Linked DNA regions of Cricetulus griseus. The protein of the gene in region 1 interacts with the protein of each later gene in a pairwise test. Links are inferred from orthologs where the notes say so. Each region holds a gene or a part of one and is shown in the gene's direction. Other genes may lie near its edges.

Region 1 (3,653 bases):
AGTCTAAGTGAAATCTTACCACAAGCAGTACAAGGAGACCCAGTATTTGGAAGTACAGACAATCAGAGTTGAGATACTGCTTAGAATCTAGTGATTATTTCTGTACCATGTACTTGTGTATCTCTTTTGTGTGTATATAATTTACACTACTTATTTATAATGACTTAAGATTTTTCTACATACGCCTATTTAAAAAATGTTTTTAAACTGGGGATTTACACAAATCCCATTCAGGCCACAATATGAATAATAAATGTGTGTTTATTTGAACTTCTTGATGGTGAGAGTCCTTCAGACAATAGACTTATTTATTTCTGAAGAGGGTTTATGTTAGACAAAATATCCCTCAGGCATTAAGAAGAAAAAGCCTGCAAAAAGCACTTTAGTAAATTATAACTTTTGGGATAAAATATGACAATAATGATTGCTAAAGTAGAAACCAAAGTATAAAACTGCATATACTGTACATAATGCATTTTCAACTTTTCTATTATTTAGTTTGTGTCACTGGAAAAGCTACTTGTGGAAAATTAATTTGGATCTTAGAAGACATGAACTCCTTTGTTCATGCATAATTTGATATATTGTTTTGAACATGAGCTATGTATGCTGAGAACATTTACCAATAGTGATGTGTGATTACATCTTGCTATGTGACTATTCTTACTACTTTCAGCATTCTGTGGGTAAGCAGCTACACATCTCAAATAGTGAGTCAAAGTTTGCCAAATTTATATGCTAACATGTGGAAGGGGGGATTATTAGCACTGGTTATCATGAAACAGACTAGGCATGCACCACAGGCATGGCACCACAGGAGTGTAACTCACCTGGGCAGCACACTAGAGCTGACCCTGTTGTTGGGCCACAGGTTAGTTAAGCCTGAGAGTGTTAGAGTAGGAGAGCTGATCCCACCCCCCTCCCTCCATTTACCAGCTACAGTAATCAGGAGAGAAGGCCCTTCACTTCACCTGGGCAAAATAGTAGAGCTGTTGCTGGTGGTGTGAGTTCAGCCAAGCAGGATCTGACAACCTGCAGCAGGAGACTGGCCCCTCCACTTGCTGTAGGCTGCATTGGTAAGCTAGCTGAGGCAGTACTGGAGGGCTAGCCTGGGTAGTGATGAGGGAAAGTTTGCACCAGGGACAGATGGGGATGGGAGGTGGGGGGGGGAGGGATGTAGGTTTTTTGTTTTTTCTTTTAAGTTTTGTTTTGTTTTAGTGGGGAGGTCCATAGGCAGAGGGAAGATGCCAGGGGAGAGGGAGATCAGTGCAATCAGGATGAATGATCTGAAATCCACAAAAAATCAATAAAAGATAGATAAAATAAAAAAATCAAAAATTTTAAAATCATGAAAAGAAACCCATAATTAAGTGATTTGCTCCATCCCAGAAGAAACATAAAGCTTTAACTTCTCTGGTATTAACAATATGGCATTTATTTGAAACTTTTCTGCATTTCATAGTGTTTGCATGGAAATCTAAAGCTGGCTTGCCTGTTTATCATTTATCTTTTTATTTTTGTAACATGGGAGAAGAGCTCACTCTTTCTGCCCATTTGGGTCTTGGACACTGGCTTCTCTTGCTTTAGCTCCAGTGTAGCAGGCTTACAGTCATGTGTCACCTCAGCAACTTAGATTATCTTATTTTCTATAAGCTATACAAACACTCACAAAATTAAGGACTCTCCATTTGCTGGAGTTGCTCAGACTACTCTGTGTCCATATAGCAATATGCCAGCTTCAGGTCACACAGTGTGCTCCTGTAAGTTACATTTGTACTTCTATTGAAGGGATCTTTAGTAAATTAAGACATAATGCCTGATTTTAAAAGCCAACTTGCTACACTGAAGAATCACCTGGGAAGGTAGTCTTGCCTGAGGAATTATCTTACATAGGCCTGTGGGCGTATCCACAAGGGACTGTCTTGGTTGTCAGTTGACTCAGCCCACTGTAGGTGGCACCTAGTCTAGGTCCTGAACTGTATGAGTGAATAAAGGTAGCTAAGCCAGCAAACAGGCTGCATGGATGCAGTTTTCTTAGTTCTGCTCTTGGTGTGTGTGTGTGTGTGTGTGTGTGTGTGTGTGTGTATGTGTAGAACAAAACAGAAGGGCTAGATTTTCAGGTGAATGGAATCTGAACAATATGTGTTCTGAGGACCCAAGTTCTGTCCTCTATCAGAGCAGCAAATATCATTAAGTACCATATACTATATAGCAAGTACTAAAAGAACCTTGCCCTTCAAGAACATAGTAATGTGTGTGCAAGGATTAACAGCAATTAGGGATCTGAACATCAAAAGGTTAACATTTCACCCAGCCTATTGAAATTTGTTGTGGATGATTTAAACTCTGAAGAATTATTTGAAAATTGTCAACTGGCTTGCAACAAATTATCATTTCTCCAACAGTTTCCTCCTACTTTTGGAAAATTTACTTAGATTGTGGCCCTGTCATAATCTCAGGAAATGTTAAATCAATGCAAAATGAGTGGATCCGTATTTCTAAAAATAACCTTTTTACAGGAAGAAGAGCTGAGGAAGAGCGGGGAGGCCAAGTATGCACACCTGAGTGATGAGCTGCATGTATTAATTGAAGTGTTTGCTCCACCTGGCGAGGCTTATTCACGGATGAGTCATGCCTTGGAAGAGATTAAAAAATTCCTGGTTCCTGTAAGTGATTTTTGAATTTACAAACTGTTTCTTATCCATTCCTAGTTTTAAATTGTGTCTTTGATCTCTAGTAACTTTTTGGAAGGGAGTTCACACTGCACATTAATTTTCTATGCATAGATTTGATACAAATCTTAAATAAATTGGGCACACAGGACACTTATTACAAGACCTGGCATGTTGGCACTTTCTTCTCATCTGACATGAGTATTCATCACCAACCTGTGTATTGTATACATCAATCCACAGCCAGAAACACTAATAAGAGAAACGTATGCTCAAAAGTACATGATTTTATGTCACCTTTCCCTTTTATAAGCCGTTGACATGTATTTTGATAATTTATAATTCGTAGGAAAATGTAGAATAAAAAGATGGATGAGATTGAATATGTATTATTTATAGTAAGATAATGATAGTATTTTAAAGTAACAAATGCCTTTTGTGTGGTAGCCTGTCAGGTAGTACAAGGTATATTAACAGAGGCATATAAATGTTAACTTAGACAGTTAGAAATTTAAACTCACCATGCAATGTGAGAATAATAGAGGATGGAAAATTCAGATGCAAACTGAGTTGCATTCTCTACTGATTTCCCAAGAGACAGGGGAACATAAATGCATAGATTCTTAAGGTTAACAATTGAACATTCTAGAAACAAGGGCTTCAGTATAAGTCTTACCCAGGGGCTTGAGATATTATGAGATATTGAGAGAATGCTGAGTAAAGTTCCCTGGAAGAGCTTAGAAAGATCCTCAGTCCAGAACATAGATAGCTGAGGTTAATTTACAAATGAAGAAACTGGAAATTTGTGTACTCAGTAAAAGCCTCAGAGAAGGTGGCCGGCAGATAAGATCCATGGACTAGTAGTGGTATAGAAAATTGGAAAGGACAAATAGCATAGATTCCCTTAAGTGTACAAGCATTAAGTTCTAGCCACATTTTCTAGTTACATGTCCAATCCCAATATTAATCTTTGTCAAGGCA
Region 2 (3,264 bases), on another chromosome or scaffold:
AAACACCTCAGTTCAAAAGTGGACTAAGTACTTGGACAATGAGGCTACCAAAGATAACATATGGGTGGCAAGTAGCCAGATGGAGAGATCTTCCACATCACTGGCCATCGGAGGAACATGATTCTCAGCCACAATGTTATTATACCACTATTTACCTGTCAAAACAGCCAAGATTCAAGAACTCTGGCAATGATACTCATAGTAAAGACACTCACGAAGACAGTTTGGCATTCCTTATAAGGTTAAAATATGCATTTTGCATACGCCAGCAATTTTACTCCTAGCTATAGCTGTGTCTACAGACACGGAGATAGAGACATAGAAACCTGTGTTCATGCATAGCCTTCCCTATGAATATTCAAAGCATCTTTATTTGTAATAACCTTACACAAGAAACAGCCCAAAAGTCCTTCAGTGAATGAAAGGGTAAACTGCTGCAGTATTCATACCATAAAATAAAGAGTAGCCAACTGCTGATACTGCAGAAGAAAGAAGCCAGTCTTAAAGGACAGAGTGCTGTATGATTCCAGTTATACACATTTTTGAGAAACATGGATTAGCATGGCTTAGGTTGGGAGCAAGAGGAAGATGAGACAGCAAATGGGTGGCTGTGGGGGTTTCTGGGATGGCAGGGCTATTCTTTATCCTGATTGTAACTTGGTTACATAAATCTGTATGTGTGTCATTTCAGAAGACAATGAGCAAATCAACTTCACTACATGTTAAGATAAACTAAAAGAATCATTTGTGTTTCTCCAGACACTGGTTGCTATGGAGGGCTATGGTGCAAATGGATGATTTTCTTTTGTTAATCTGTCACCTCCTGGTGGGAGCAGTTTTCCATACTCTTGCCTCCGTGCTGAGTGATAGGGACTACTACTTCCTTGGAGGAAAACCAAGAGTCGCAGGAACTAGGGGACAGGGTGGCACAAACAATTTGTGATTCTGAAATGAAGGACAGTGCAGATCTGGACACAGGAATGGCCTCCTGACATGGCTGGGCCCCTATCTCTCCTGGTCTCTGTGCAGGACTATGACCAACACCACCCTTAGCCGAAGGGGAGTGGGCAAGAGTGATAGCAATTGACCTCGAAATCCCACTGGGTCCTGTTTCCCGTTGTGGGTCACTGTGTCTGATAACAGGCCCCACCCTACAAGCCCCCTCCTCTCTCCCAACCAGTGGCCGCAGCCTGGCAGGGCCCCTGACTTTGTGTATATAAGGGGACACTGGAGACAGCACCATCAGGCCAACCCTGAGTGCTTTCAGCTCCAGCACAGCCTGCAGTCCTCACCACCACCACCACCATGTCTCTGATGAAGAGTGAGAGAGCCATCGTCATGTCCATGTGGGACAAGATGGCTTCCCAGACCGAGGCCATCGGCACCGAGACTCTGGAGAGGTAAGTCCAGGCACAGTCACTCCAGTCGGAAGCCAGGGATCAGTAAGAAGGGGGTGACAAGGAGGAGTTAGTGGGGAGAAGCCACTGAGAAAGGGCCATGAGGAGGGGGTGGTAAGGACGGGCAGTGAGGAAAACACGGTGATGAAGAGGGACTGGCCGTGAGAGCAATGCTTGTAAGGAGGGGATCCAGGCGGGCTGATGAGAAGCTAGAGTAGGTGGATGGACATTCACAGCCCTCATCAAAGTCCTCCACATGGCTCCACAAGTCTTTGTTGAATGAATAGGAATGAATGGATGAACTCACCAGTGGATGCAATGCCTTGCCATATGGAGCCTGGTGCAATAGGAAATAGTAACATCAATCTTGGGTTTTGTTTTTTAAGATTGAGAGAGCGAGAGAGCAAGAGAGAGCGAGAGAGAGCGAGAGAGAGAGAGAGAGAGAGAGAGAGAGAGAGAGAGAGAGAGAGAGAGAGAGAGAGAGAGCGCACAGGTGCCAACGAAAGCTAGAGGCATCAGATCCCTTGCACCCTAGTTACAGGAGGTTGTAAGTTCCCTTCAAGGGCAGTCAGTGCTCTTAATCACTGAACCATCTCTCCAGCCCCTAGCTTTATTTCTTTAAACACTGTGTAAAATATTGTTTTGTTTTCTTTTTCTGTCTGGTAGGTCTTTGTGTACCCCTTAAGTTTTGAGCCCAAGGCAAGAGCCAGGGTCCTAGCCCACCACCTAATGAAACACCCACACCCACCCACCCACACACCCACCCCCACAAAAAAAAAAAAAACTAACGCTTTCTCCCGACCCCCAGGCTCTTCTGCAGCTACCCACAGACAAAGACCTACTTCCCGCACTTCGACCTGCACCACGGGTCGCAGCAATTGCGCGCCCATGGCTCCAAGATCTTGGCTGCTGTCGGCGAGGCCGTTAAGAACATCGACAACCTCTCGTGTGCTCTGACCAAGCTGAGTGAGCTGCATGCCTACATCCTGCGTGTGGACCCTGTCAACTTCAAGGTGGGTTTGTGAGAATGGAAGGGGAGATCATCAGGGAAGGACACAAAGGAGGAAATCGAGTGGGGTCTCCGCGGCACTGTGCACTGAATCTCCTCCCTTCTCGCCTCTGCAGCTCCTGTCCCACTGTCTGCTGGTCACCCTGGCCGCACGCTTCCCCGCCGACTTCACAGCTGAAGTCCACGAAGCCTGGGACAAGTTCATGACTATCCTGTCTTCCATCCTGACTGAGAAGTACCGCTAAGCCCCACCGCCACGACCCCCAAGACGGGCTACGACCCCTCTCCTCCCCTTCACTGAACCCTCCCTCGGGTCTTTTTTTGTAGCCCCCAATAAATGGTTGAAGATGGAAATAACTGGTCCTGTGTTCTCAGTCTTGGAGGGAAACCGGGATGGGGACGCTAGGGTATGGACAGGGCCTTCGCAGAAACATTGTGGGTCCTAGTGTCACACACTGCCTAGAAGACATTCCTAGGGTGGTTGGGGGAGGGTCTTGCCCTTGAGAACCCCAGAGTCAGAGCATCCCAGGGCCAGCTGGACTTCTCCTCGCCTTCCTAAATCTCTTCGAACAGAGTGGTGGGTGATCAGGAATTACCCGAAATCTGACATCACAGCTCCCTCCTCCCTAGCAGCTGGGGGAGGAGGTGTCCCTGTCTTTAAAAGAACAGAGGATTTCCTGGCCGATTCTTGCTGGCTCCATCCTGACAGAGCTGTAACTGCCTTCATAGGAGTAATTACAAGTTCCGGGAGTTCGAAACGAAGACATCCATACACAGGAGCAAGCGGAGCCTGTACCAGAAGCCCCATCCGCAGTTGTCGCTCTGGGCATATTTCTGTGCACAGGTGGAAGGGCTCTG
Region 3 (3,679 bases), on another chromosome or scaffold:
AAGGCAAACAAGTTATTCTTAGTCAGAAAATACTGGGAAAGACCAAATTGTCAGGCAGTGGACTCAGACACTACTTGCTTTGGATTTCCACTATGTATTGCAAAACTCAACCCTTTTGATCAAGAGGTATTAGGGAGCAATATTCATCCTGTGGGTTGGATTTGCACCCTTTGACGATAGGATACCTGTTCTGTTGAAAGCATATGAGGCTTAAAGAGACTGTCAGATAAGGATGCGAGTTGAGGATGACACCAAGGTAAAGGGTCCCATAACAATACTAGGTGTTGGGCAGAGATGAATAAGGGGTAGGGGTTTCAGCACTCAAAAATGTAGGGCATGACATCAAGAACTATGAAGGTGATGACTTTAGAGACATGGAGGGATAAAACATTGGGGCCTTAAGGGATATGAGGTTAAAGGATTAGAAGTAAATAAGATTGATTGATTGCTGAGGATGGTAGTTGGTTGGCACTGGTCTACTGTCAGTTAGGGACTTGCTGTCAAAGGGGAGAAATGACGTCAAATGCGGTGAAAATGACGTCAGGGAGGAAAACGCTATATGAATCAAACCATTTGTAGATGGAAAAGGGAGGGGGCAATCTCTATGCTAGCACAGAGATGCTTATATTAAGATGCACTGAACTCTAAAGTTCCTCTCTATTCCCGGAAGCGGCAAGGCGAATTGTTTCCTCCGCCTTCCTCTCTCTCTACCCGCCCCCGCTGCCCTTAACCAATGAGCACGCACGTCGGGGCGCGCTGGGGTACGTTCTGTGACGTATCTGCTACGCACGCTTTATCAGGCGTCTTCCCGCGCGGCAGCCTCTCTCTTCTCCCGGTTCCTTAGAGCTCGCGGTGTCTCCAGCCCTTTTGCTTCTAAGCAGGTTTGTCCAGGTAAGCAGCGTTTGGCTTGCGCAGCGGTCGTACCTCGCCTCACTTCCTTGCCCGCCAGGGACGGGTGACGAGAGTAGGGAGGGTAGCGGCAGCTGACACGTAGGCTTGAGCTTCTCCGTAGAGGGCGAGTCCCAGGCTCGAAGGAAAATCTCCCATTTGGGAGGCTGGCGTGCTGCATCCGAACGGGAGAAATGCCGGAAGGGACGGGCTGGGTCCGTGGCGGGAATGACCACGCGACAACCTATACCGGCTCTCTCTTCCCACGTGACCGCCGCCATCTTGTTCTGCAGGGAAAGAGGAAATGCAAGGCTGTTTGTAGGCCTGCGCGACCATACAAAATGACGGGTGTGGTGGTATGGGATGTTGTGGGCATGCGCCGTAGCGGTCGGCAAATGGCGGACAAGCTCTCTCTGGCTTGCTGGTTCCCGCCTTTTCTGCTCCTGAGTCTCTTGCCGTTTGATTTATTTCTCTTAACCCCCCCTTTTGTGATCCCTGTAATTCTCAGTCTTCAGGTGTTAGACATCTCACCACTTCCACATTAACTATTTTCCCCAATTTCCGCATATTTGCCCTATAGGATTTGCATTTTGCCATGTCTTCTGAAGAAGGGAAGCTCTTCGTGGGAGGGCTCAACTTCAACACCGATGAGCAGGCACTTGAAGACCACTTCAGCAGCTTTGGGCCTATCTCTGAGGGTGAGCCATGGACCAGCCCACGGGTTGAGGGTTGGTAGAGAACAGCTAGTTTAGTCTGGGACTTATAACTTGAAATTCTCCTTAACTTCACGTGTTTCTTAAGATACGGTTAGGCTGAGAAAAATGCAATGGGATGCAGGATTGGGGGGGGGTCCGTTCTCCTTTGCACTTAAATGTTAGGGTACTAACATTTACATTTCTGTCCCTCCCAGTGGTTGTTGTCAAGGACCGGGAGACTCAAAGATCCCGGGGTTTTGGCTTCATCACCTTCACCAACCCAGAGCATGCCTCAGATGCCATGAGAGCCATGAATGGAGAGGTGAGGCCTCCTGCCTGCAGAGGAGCCTTCTCCCTGTCTGCCACTTTCTTCGTTCTTTGTTTTCCCTCTATGTCTGCCAGGGGCAGCGTGGCCACAAAGCCCCGCAGTGTCCACTCACAGGAGCATGACTGCCTTCTGTTCTAGGGGGTGGAGGGCAGCGGCAGACAGAGCCGGGCTGCCTGGGAGGCGACGACTGGTCCTGCATGAGGCCGAGAAGCCACCTGTGGATGGTTGACCTGCTCTGGGCTTAGGTAGTAGAGTCTGCAGACCTGTGGGCCTGGCCCGGAGAGGACCTCGTGAGTCTTCTGGGACGGACTCTGAAGCCTCAAACCGAGAGAGGTGTCTAGCCCTAATAGTCGGGCAGCTTAGAGGAGTGGGGAGGAGAACTCAGCCTGAATTCAGTCAAGATGTAAGTAGTAGCAGGGGAGCACGGTGGATTCAGGTCGTTTGTGGGAATGAATCTGTAACTCCTGGTGAAGCCATTCTGGTCAGAGGAGCTTGCTCTGGAACATGGCACCCAGAATTTGGTGCCCAGCAGGAATTTCTGGGCTCTTGTCCATCTGCCTGTGCCCATTCTTATTCAGTCACCACTCTGACTGACTGACAGCACTCCCTTGTGTCTGTCTCCTTCCCACACCTAGTCCCTGGATGGGCGCCAGATCCGTGTGGACCATGCAGGCAAGTCTGCCCGGGGAAGCAGAGGGGGTGCCTTTGGGGCCCATGGGCGTGGTCGAAGCTACTCTAGAGGTAAGTGCAATGGTGATTTGATTATGAGATGAGATAGTCATTTGTTAGAAGCCTATGTCTGAACGTTCAACTGCTATTTTGAAATAAAGGTGGTGGAGACCAGGGCTATGGAAGCGGAAGATATGACAGTCGACCTGGAGGATATGGATATGGATATGGGCGGTCCAGAGACTATAGTGGCAGGTGGGTACTGAGAGACTGGGATACCTCTGGTACTGGTGTTCTTGATAATTCAGGAGCCTAATATTCAGTTTTGTATTATGTGGCTTGGATATATCAAAGATATTTTGCCCAACATGTGAGGGGCCCTGGGCTTACTATCCATCACCACAAAAAGTTATTTATATTGTGAATGCACTATTATGAAATTGGCATGTATAGTTTTTAATGTTACTGTCTGCTGTGTAGAATACATTCCTGTAAAATTATTCCACTTTTTCCCAGAAGCCAGGGTGGTTATGACCGCTACTCAGGAGGAAATTACAGAGACAATTATGACAACTGAGATGGGGCATGCACACATAATGTAGGTGAGACCTAAATATGGCGTTGAGTGGAGTCAAACTTGTTTCCTCAAACCCTCCTGTCCTAGCCCTTTTGCTTTTTTTCCAGCCACACCACCCTTTATCTCTGCTGCCTTGGTATCTTACCCTGTCAGTACCATTTGGTTGGTCTTGCTATTAGGTGCATGCCAAAGCTAGTTGCAGGGTTGGGGTGTCCTAAAGTCAAGTTCTATGGGGCATGGTAGAAGTAAAGAGGTGGTGTGCAGCATCTTTATCAACTCTGGGAGGTGATCATGTTATCAGTCTGTTTCTTCTTGACATCAAAATTTTACCCCTTCTTACTATTCTCAGATACACAAGGAATAATACTTCTGATCCAGGATCGTCCTTCCAAATTGCTGTATTTATAAAGATTTTTGGAGCTGCGCTGAAACATCTGTTTTAGTACTTCGAGTTCTATTTTTGAATTGAGCTCCCAAGGTAGTTTTGTTAAAAGACCTTTTAGAAAGCTCCATGTGTTCTTT

What was found.
Region 2: the proteins of Khdrbs2 (region 1) and Hbz interact in binary tests that used the Homo sapiens proteins (3 or more experiments, as listed by UniProt). The two-hybrid records come from large-scale screens. The link is inferred for Cricetulus griseus from reciprocal best matches to the Homo sapiens genes KHDRBS2 and HBZ.
Region 3: the proteins of Khdrbs2 (region 1) and Rbm3 interact in binary tests that used the Homo sapiens proteins (3 or more experiments, as listed by UniProt). The link is inferred for Cricetulus griseus from reciprocal best matches to the Homo sapiens genes KHDRBS2 and RBM3.

Annotation. Positions count from the first base shown.
Region 1 is NW_023276807.1:15,381,184-15,384,836, reverse strand, and holds part of Khdrbs2 (KH domain-containing, RNA-binding, signal transduction-associated protein 2), read left to right. Parts: intron 1-2,519; coding exon 2,520-2,666; intron 2,667-3,653. UniProt on the Homo sapiens protein: RNA-binding protein that plays a role in the regulation of alternative splicing and influences mRNA splice site selection and exon inclusion. Binds both poly(A) and poly(U) homopolymers. Phosphorylation by PTK6 inhibits its RNA-binding ability.
Region 2 is NC_048600.1:45,948,034-45,951,297, reverse strand, and holds Hbz (hemoglobin subunit zeta), read left to right. Parts: upstream 1-1,305; coding exon 1,306-1,400; intron 1,401-2,205; coding exon 2,206-2,410; intron 2,411-2,522; coding exon 2,523-2,651; downstream 2,652-3,264. UniProt on the Homo sapiens protein: The zeta chain is an alpha-type chain of mammalian embryonic hemoglobin.
Region 3 is NC_048604.1:114,619,199-114,622,877, reverse strand, and holds Rbm3 (RNA-binding protein 3), read left to right. Parts: upstream 1-1,483; coding exon 1,484-1,586; intron 1,587-1,798; coding exon 1,799-1,905; intron 1,906-2,546; coding exon 2,547-2,652; intron 2,653-2,741; coding exon 2,742-2,835; intron 2,836-3,096; coding exon 3,097-3,157; downstream 3,158-3,679. UniProt on the Homo sapiens protein: Cold-inducible mRNA binding protein that enhances global protein synthesis at both physiological and mild hypothermic temperatures. Reduces the relative abundance of microRNAs, when overexpressed.